3 linked regions of the Saccharomyces cerevisiae S288C genome follow. The protein of the gene in region 1 binds, or shares a complex with, the protein of each later gene. Each region holds a gene or a part of one and is shown in the gene's direction. Other genes may lie near its edges. The genes, in order: EMC5, EMC10 and EMC4.

Region 1 (2,908 bases):
TCCATTGTTTCCCATTGACAGAAATAGCACTATTTTATATCTGAACGTATTCCACGGTCTGTGTGCAGGTGCCAACAACCCCAAAATCCAAACTAAGGACAGCGTTAAGGAAATAGTTTTGCCTTTATTCTACGATTTGTTGAATGCCGCATCCATCGAATCTGCTGATATTCTGTGTCCTCTCCTAGAGAGCTTTATCACATTTTCTCTGGATGATTGGATATCTATTGGATATGAAACTGAATTAAAAAAAATTACCGACAAAACTATTAAAGCATTTATGGATTCTACAATCGGGAATTCAAAAGTTGACATGAAGTACGATATATTTGCTAAATTCATTCACCATATCCATCATTTTGAAAAAAAGGAACTGCAGGAAAAATTTTTAAACCAGATAGCTACATTGAAAATTCATTTAAAAAAATTTCTACAGGAAAAAATGGATCCAAATAATTCTAGGGACGACTACAAAGATTTAACTTGTTCTTTGTACGAGCTCTACATCAATAAACTGACAATTCTTGGCAGGGATTACCCAATCGAGGTTGATGAAGAGTTGTTGCAACTGTTTTTGAACAATTTTGTTTCCCGTATCCCTATAATGTTTCAAGATTTTGATGATAGTACCGCTCAAGAAATAAACTTTAAAATGCTAGTGTTATTAGCCACATGGAATCTGGAAAAATGGAGAGAAATAATAGAGAAAGTAAGGGATTACGAGAATTCTATTTCAAAAGATCTTAGATCAGTTTGGAAACCAATTGCCGCTATAATAGGTCGTCTAAACACACTCGTTATTTCATTGGCGGCTACAAACGAAACATTTGAAAACATAAACAGCTTGTTTTACTTAAAATGGTCAGCTTGCACTTCATTAATGGATATAATCGTTGCAATAAAAATATTTGAGCTCAAATTGCCTGCAGACGCTACAACATGGAGATATAGTATGAGTGAACAATTTCCATTTTACCTTCACGATAATGCTTCCAAAGTGCTTTTGAAAATATTTTTATATTTGGAGAGTCTTTTCGCTAAGCAAGTTGACGTCCAATTAGAAAGGGTAGCAGATGAAGACGCCAACCTAAATGATTTGCCGGAAACCGGGTTTTTCGAGAATATTGAAACTGAATTCCTTTTATTCACAGTTAAATTGAAGGGACTAATGAAACTGAATATTTTAGATGAACGATTTGCTTCCCGTGTGGCACTAAACAAAGAAAAGCTTGGCCCGCTGTTCAAAAAAATCGTAGATGATACCATAATGGAAAATCCAGAACCTAATAAAAAGAACATACAGAAAGCAAAATCAAATCAAACACAGAGGGAAAAAGCGCCTTTACAACCCAACAGTGAACGAGAAACCGACCATGCAAATACTGAAAATAATGATCCAGATATTCCCATGACAATCGATCTAGAACCTATTGAAGAAAGTTCGCAAAATAATTCAGAGTTAGCACCAATTGAGGAACACCCAACCGTGGTAGATGCTATAGACAACAGCGACGAAATCACACAAGATTAAGGGAAAAGATATACGTCAGACTTATTGCTCTTTTGTAAAACAATAAGATCTATAATATATATCACATCTTTCTTTTGAACATACATAGCTTCGTTAGCAGTTTTTGATTAATCATAAATACTTCAAATATCCCTTCGCATTAGACTATACTCGCTGGATGATATTCGGCTATGTATTTTCCAAGCCCATTCAATCGTCATCAAAGCGCCCTTTGCTTCTTCGAAAACTCGCGATGTAAACGCAGCGCAGAAAAATCTACTTTTGAATATAAAATAAAGTCAACTCAGATAGTTGTTATGCATGTTAATTGTAGCATCTAAAAAGCGATCGTAATTAAGCCCTACCGAGATACAAAAAAGCAATTATCAAGAGATGTCGTTTGTTTCCAAGCTTCTCTATACAGTCTCTGCATTGGTGTTATTTCATTCTGGTTTCTCAAGCTATGAGTTTCATCACTTATTAAAACTTAACTCGCTTAATAATGCACAAGGTGCAATCAGCAAGTTACCTAAAGATATCATGTATGAAACGTATGCAGGATTGATACTCTTTGTTCTTGCAGTGTTCACTTCGTTCGAGAAATTACAATATTTACCAATTGAGAGTAACGATGGGAAGATAATATCCCAAGGAAACTATCTAAAAGAAATCGCATTAAATAAAGCCACCAACGTGGATAACTTGATAGGAAGTAACCCTAATGGTGAGATCATATTTACTCCAAGCTTTGTTGACGTTCATATGAAGAGAAAAATTTGCAGGGAATGGGCCTCTAACACTGTAAAAAAAGAAAAATAAATAAGATACTGAAAACTAGAGCTAGAACTTATAATTTCATACATATATACATATCAAGATCTAATAAGAGGATTAGCTAGATTTTGAGCATAAATTCGATAGCGAATCTACTCGAACATCGTAACTGCACAAAATAAGGCGTCAGGTGACCAGGCACCTCTTCTATTTACACCAACACAGACGCCTTTCATAGAGGAATAGAAAGCTATATTAGAATCACCAATAATGCAAGCGTCTCCTGTGTTCTATAACGTGAACCATAAGCTTGAGTGGTTTCAAAAGGATTACGGGGCGGATAGTATCTTTTGCGTCTTCGTTGGATAGTTTGTTATTAAGATACATAAATACACACTAAATTTAGTGGTAAAATCTTCTATTCAATATTATCGAGAGTCTCGGTTTGAGGGCTAACACTCTAATGGATAACCGTTCGGAATATTTCTATTCCAGTTTACATAGTATAAGTACGATATTCATCCTCATGTTAGCGTAAGTGGAACTTGTTCAAATCATCCTGAGGTACAGACAAGCCCTTATTGATGATTCATTCTGTTATTTCAGGAACAGGTAATAGTTCTC
Region 2 (2,974 bases), on another chromosome or scaffold:
CTCATGTTTTCAAATATTACTTCCATTTCATGTGGACTTACGATTTCGTTTAATAATTCTTTCACTTCTGCTATCTCCTTAGAAATCCTCAAGAATAGCTCATTATCAGTGTTAATTAAGTATTCATCTGACCGAATTTCTGCGGTATTTATATCTGCTTTGTTTGAGTGGGTTATTTGACCAAGTTCAGTTGACTCGCCATGATCCCCAATTTTGTATGATAGGAAGTTTCCATTATCTTCATTAAATGTAAACGTCTTGTTGAAAAATATCTCTGCTCTCTGTGAATTAAGTATGTTCAACGATAAAGTGGTTTGAAACCGATCTTTCATATCAACCACTTCCGCCAACCAAACACATGAGTCACCAGGCTGGAGAATATGTCCATTAGGTAACGATACTAATCTCAAACTAAGCATTTTGTTTATGGCATTTCCAAATTTCTGGTAATATGTTTCCGTAATCTCATCCCAATTTGACATGGCATTGTCAGTAACCATTAATTTGTCTCTTTCGTCGGTGTTAAAGGGCCTTAGAAAGTATATTCCAGAACCTAAAAAAATCGGTTCATATTTGGTGATTAAATCAATAGAGTTACTACCAATTTTTGATTTTGCGGGCATCCTGCAAAGTATAGGTGAGGCGTTCTTTTGGTCTTCATTTTTGGCTAGTAATTCTAAATTGCACAATTCAGGTATGGTAACTTGGGCTTCATAAACACAAATTTTTGTTTCTCTCACCCATTGAATAGTCGATGGTCCAGAGTTTGAGCCGCCACAGACATATTGTATTTCAACCATTCTTTCAGCCCCCGTCACATCGCAAATATCACCTGACCCTATAATTTCGCTGATGTAATATCCTACATCGTCATAAAGTAGTTCAAATTCTCTCTCTTCTACATTTGCTTTTGGTTTTCCCAGGCGGTAGACCAAAGATTCATCTCGATTTACTATTTCACCAGTTTTTGTATTTACTCTACCATGGAACTGAACAAATTCTATGCCAGGACAGTACTCGTAAATCCAAAATCCGGCTTGGTAGAAGATGCACCGTTCATTTAATTTATCGAAAATTGTCTTAACACCTTGATTCAGGGTTTTAGTTAATAATGCTGTCTTTTCACTATTGCTATGCTCATTTGAGTCTTCCAATACATCATTCAATTGAGTGCTTGCATTTTGAATAAAGCATTCAAGGTCGTCGCCCATATTCACTATATATCCCGAGTTCATGACAGACTGATTTTGTAATATCCTATCACTCCAGTCGTCCTCATCGATGTAAGATATGAGGTACTTATTCGATACTATGGGGTCTTCTATAGGTGCTAATAGTGATGATCCTAACGGAATCAACGCAGAAATTGCGCTCAGAGCATATATAATTTTAGCTTGCATTGAAACAGGGAAGAAAGGGGATGATAACGATATATGTGAAGATCTATTGCTTATTTTAGGGAATCTGCTTCTTTTTTATGAAGCTACATTTTTACTTGAAATTTCCGCTGTATTTTTTTGCATACGTGCGCTGGGTCTCTAACCACTGTATTTGCATTGGTAACTTAAAAACCCAACCAAATATAGGAATAATTAGAAGTATATAAAAGACACTTTGAGTAAAAAAACAAGGTGGTACTATTCAACACTATCTAACAAGAACTGTACAATACTCATTGAAGGAAAGATGCTTGTGCGGCTGTTGCGTGTGATTTTATTGGCCAGCATGGTTTTCTGTGCTGATATTTTACAATTAAGCTATTCAGATGATGCGAAAGACGCTATACCCCTAGGAACATTTGAGATTGATAGTACATCCGATGGGAATGTTACAGTAACAACCGTTAATATACAGGATGTTGAAGTTTCTGGAGAATACTGTTTGAATGCCCAGATTGAAGGTAAGCTGGATATGCCATGTTTTAGCTACATGAAGCTGAGGACACCACTAAAATACGATTTAATTGTGGATGTAGATGAAGATAATGAGGTCAAACAAGTGTCGTTATCATATGACGAGACTAACGATGCTATTACTGCTACAGTCAGATATCCAGAAGCGGGACCTACTGCACCAGTCACCAAATTAAAGAAGAAAACCAAAACTTATGCTGATAAAAAAGCTAGTAAGAATAAGGATGGAAGCACTGCACAATTCGAAGAAGATGAAGAGGTTAAGGAGGTGTCTTGGTTTCAAAAGAACTGGAAAATGTTACTTTTAGGCCTATTGATTTACAATTTTGTTGCGGGCTCAGCAAAGAAGCAACAACAAGGAGGTGCCGGAGCTGATCAAAAGACTGAGTAAATAAAGTATTGTGATTTTTTAAATTTTTAAGTGTCGTTACTTTTATCTCTTTCCCGAAAATATTTGAATACATAAAATTTTTAAATAAATGTTTTTATTTGTTCACATGTCGTGAATGACAGGTACTAGTTATCAAAAATGAAGAATATTTCTTCATTCCATTACATTATAGACATGATGATTGCCGTCAAAAGACCGACCAAAGGGGTTGTTTGGCCAATTGGTGCCATGATAGCGGCATTGCCTTTGGAACTCTTAGAGCTAGAGCTGGAAGCGCCAGAACTAGAAACACTAGAGGCAGAAGCAGCAGCCTTGATATCGCCAGAAGTGAACTTCTTTTCCTCGGCCTTAGAAGATGACTTGGAAACCTTGGCAGTAGTTTGGCTTGATTGAGATTTGGAAGTGGACGATAGTTTAACAGATGTGGATGATGCACCATTTTTGCAGACAAAAGATTCACCCTTGATACCCCCTTTCTTTTGCAAAGCTTTCAAAGCATTACAGGAGAAATTGCTTGACTTTGATTCGACATCTGCGCCACCCTTGACAGACTTCAAAGAGTCTAGGTTCAAGGAGGTGAAGTTACCAACAACTTCCAAAGTACCGCCAATGGTTGTTAGGTTGTCGAGACCACCAATTTTTTGTAAACCAGTGTTGTTAGCAACGACAA
Region 3 (2,996 bases), on another chromosome or scaffold:
GCCATGAAAAATTTAAATATAAATGATAATACTATTACTTCCAATACATTAGAAGATAAATGTAATAATAATGATAGTAATGACAGTAATGACAACCAAAAACAAAAAAAAAATATTAAAAAAAAGTTTCATGATAATGAATTGTATTCTACTTTTGATACATCTGATGACAATATTGATGATGATGATGATATGAGTTTTGAAATTCCTTACGTCAGTGAAACGCAAAATTTGAAAATACGTAAAAACCCTACCATTGGAGATTTATTCAAAATTAAACTTCATGACCTTGGGTTTTTTCCAAAGTTTCTACAATTATTCTTAAGATATCCTTGGAATAACTTTTGGCACAACATTGTATTTGATATTATTCAGCAGATATTCAATGGTCGAATGGATTTTTCTTATAACTCATTTTTGGTCTATTCTTTGTTTGATTTCAAAAAGTCTACAAGATTTATCCCAAAACCTTTGTACGGCAGCAACCAAAAGTTACCTGTTAAAGACTTCCATATTATCTCTGATTTCATTTTACAAGGCCACAAGGATTCGTTTGAATTTTACGAAAAAGAGAAAACAAATTTAGGTTATATGGGTCAATTAGTATTAATTGCCGAAGAAATTGCGAAGTATTCCAAAATTTATAAGACCGATCTAATTGCTCCAGATATATATGCCTTCTTACAAGATGAAGTTTGGATGTCATATTCTAGTGACATCTTGAACGAAACAAGGACAATGTGTTCAATAATTCTTGGTGGAGGCCAGTTCTGTGCCGAAAGCGATGAAAATACTAACCAGGACTTTTTGGAAAAAGCTGATATGAGTAAACCAGCTCATCCATCCACAATGGATGAGAATGAAATTGTTCACGAGGAGGATGTTAAGTTGCATGATAAAGTTGCCGAGCTCATAGATGAATTGGGTCAATTAACCGAATTAGATATTCATGATAAAATTAAAGATGTTATTGTTGATCATCATTCCGACTTAAATTGATTAGGTTAAGTCGTCAAACCAATTTTGACTTTTTTTTTCCTACATTTTTAATATTTTGTTTCTCGTTTTGCCTTATTTAATTTTGTGACATGTAAAAATTACGAAGCCTATTGGGGGCCAATTGAAGTAAACTAAATATAACAATAGTCCTTTGTAGTTCAGGAATGTTCACCAACTATTCACCAAAAATTATTGTCTAGCTTACTTTCAATAACTTATAGCTATCTATACAAAAATAATCATATAACTAAAGTCAGGCCCAAACCAGGCAAAACAAAACCATAATAATGGGAATTATTACACTATCCGGCAATGTTCTACATTTATTGAAAGCCTACCCAAAAAAGGGCCTTGAAGAGGTTTCTCAACCAGAGCCTAATACAGCAAATGATTCCTCGACTGAATATAAAGGAAAAAGCAAGGATGATTTTCAAATGGTCGAAAAATCCAATACAGATGAGAGATACAATTTTACAAGAACGAAAAAATGGTTTTTATTGATGACCTCAGAATATTACAAACTAATGGAAAACAGACTTTTAATGTTTTGCATTATCGCTTGCTCTTTTATTTGTGCTATCCAATTTCTTTTCTTTATAATTTATTGGACCAACATTGTTCCACGGAAGACGCAAAGGGCAATAACTAACCTAAATTACGATTATTTAACAGCCCATCTAAAAGAGCAATGCGTTCCATATGCGAAAATTCTTGACCAATGTATTCTCTAGCAATCTCTGCTTTTGTACATTCGTAGTTTTTTCATGTTCCTTTCATAAATAATAAAAAAAGCGTATTCTTTTCTATATAAATAGAATGAAAAAAAGTTGAACATAATATCAGTTAAGGTTAAAATAAAGCCAAACGATATAAGCAACAGAAATGAGTGAACAGGAGCCTTACGAATGGGCTAAACACCTATTGGACACCAAGTATATCGAAAAATACAACATTCAGAACTCAAACACATTACCTTCACCACCAGGATTTGAAGGTAATTCCTCTAAAGGAAATGTTACAAGAAAACAACAAGATGCTACATCTCAAACTACTTCTTTGGCACAAAAAAACCAAATAACAGTATTACAAGTACAGAAGGCATGGCAAATTGCGTTACAACCAGCCAAATCTATTCCGATGAATATTTTTATGTCGTATATGTCCGGTACATCCTTACAAATCATTCCTATAATGACTGCCCTCATGCTACTCTCTGGACCCATTAAAGCAATATTTTCAACAAGGAGTGCATTCAAACCAGTGTTGGGTAATAAAGCAACACAAAGTCAAGTGCAAACTGCTATGTTCATGTATATCGTATTCCAAGGCGTCTTAATGTACATTGGATACAGGAAACTAAATTCAATGGGTCTCATTCCTAACGCTAAGGGTGATTGGCTACCCTGGGAACGAATTGCTCATTATAATAATGGATTACAATGGTTTTCCGATTGAGAGCGTATATACTTATATAAAATATCTATTCTGTTTCATATATGATTATTGTTTTACACTCTTATCTTCATCCTTTCGGAATTTCGATTCATAAAGCTGTTGAACGTTGTATTTACGATATTTGGTTTTATAATCCCCATCGACTACACACATTCCGATATTGCTCTTAAAACATTCCACTAGAATCAATTTATCATAGTTCTTCAAGTCCACAGTATGATTAAACTCAGAACCCTCTTTATTGACCAGCTTCACAACTTGATTAATGATGTCCATTCTTTCAATCGTATTGAAATTTCTTCTTGTCACTTCTACAGCAAATTTATAATTTTTTTTAACATTCGAAGGGTCATGAAAGTGTGGCCCAATAACCAAATTGGCCAACTTGATTAATTGCTCCATTTTTGCATTACAAGAGTACGTAATAGGTGTTAATTTCTGAACATATCTAGTACGTTTAACCATATTTTTGGGATCCGCTAAGTCTTTCATGATACTTAGCACAAATTCTTCGGGAACAATTGGCTTTCTTGTTTTACAAA

Evidence for each region.
Region 2: EMC5 (region 1) and EMC10 share a complex: the UniProt entries of both Saccharomyces cerevisiae proteins name them as parts of the ER membrane protein complex.
Region 3: EMC5 (region 1) and EMC4 share a complex: the UniProt entries of both Saccharomyces cerevisiae proteins name them as parts of the ER membrane protein complex.

What each region holds. Positions count from the first base shown.
Region 1 is NC_001141.2:303,100-306,007, reverse strand, and holds EMC5 (Emc5p), read left to right. Parts: upstream 1-1,903; coding exon 1,904-2,329; downstream 2,330-2,908. Other genes in the region: cohesin subunit IRR1, read left to right, coding at 1-1,531. UniProt on the Saccharomyces cerevisiae protein: Part of the endoplasmic reticulum membrane protein complex (EMC) that enables the energy-independent insertion into endoplasmic reticulum membranes of newly synthesized membrane proteins.
Region 2 is NC_001136.10:564,353-567,326, reverse strand, and holds EMC10 (Emc10p), read left to right. Parts: upstream 1-1,686; coding exon 1,687-2,304; downstream 2,305-2,974. Other genes in the region: YOS9 (Yos9p), read right to left, coding at 1-1,400; PST1 (Pst1p), read right to left, coding at 2,466-2,974. UniProt on the Saccharomyces cerevisiae protein: Part of the endoplasmic reticulum membrane protein complex (EMC) that enables the energy-independent insertion into endoplasmic reticulum membranes of newly synthesized membrane proteins.
Region 3 is NC_001139.9:62,506-65,501, reverse strand, and holds EMC4 (chaperone EMC4), read left to right. Parts: upstream 1-1,881; coding exon 1,882-2,454; downstream 2,455-2,996. Other genes in the region: SAP4 (Sap4p), read left to right, coding at 1-999; YGL230C (uncharacterized protein), read left to right, coding at 1,287-1,730; TAN1 (putative tRNA acetyltransferase), read right to left, coding at 2,500-2,996. UniProt on the Saccharomyces cerevisiae protein: Part of the endoplasmic reticulum membrane protein complex (EMC) that enables the energy-independent insertion into endoplasmic reticulum membranes of newly synthesized membrane proteins.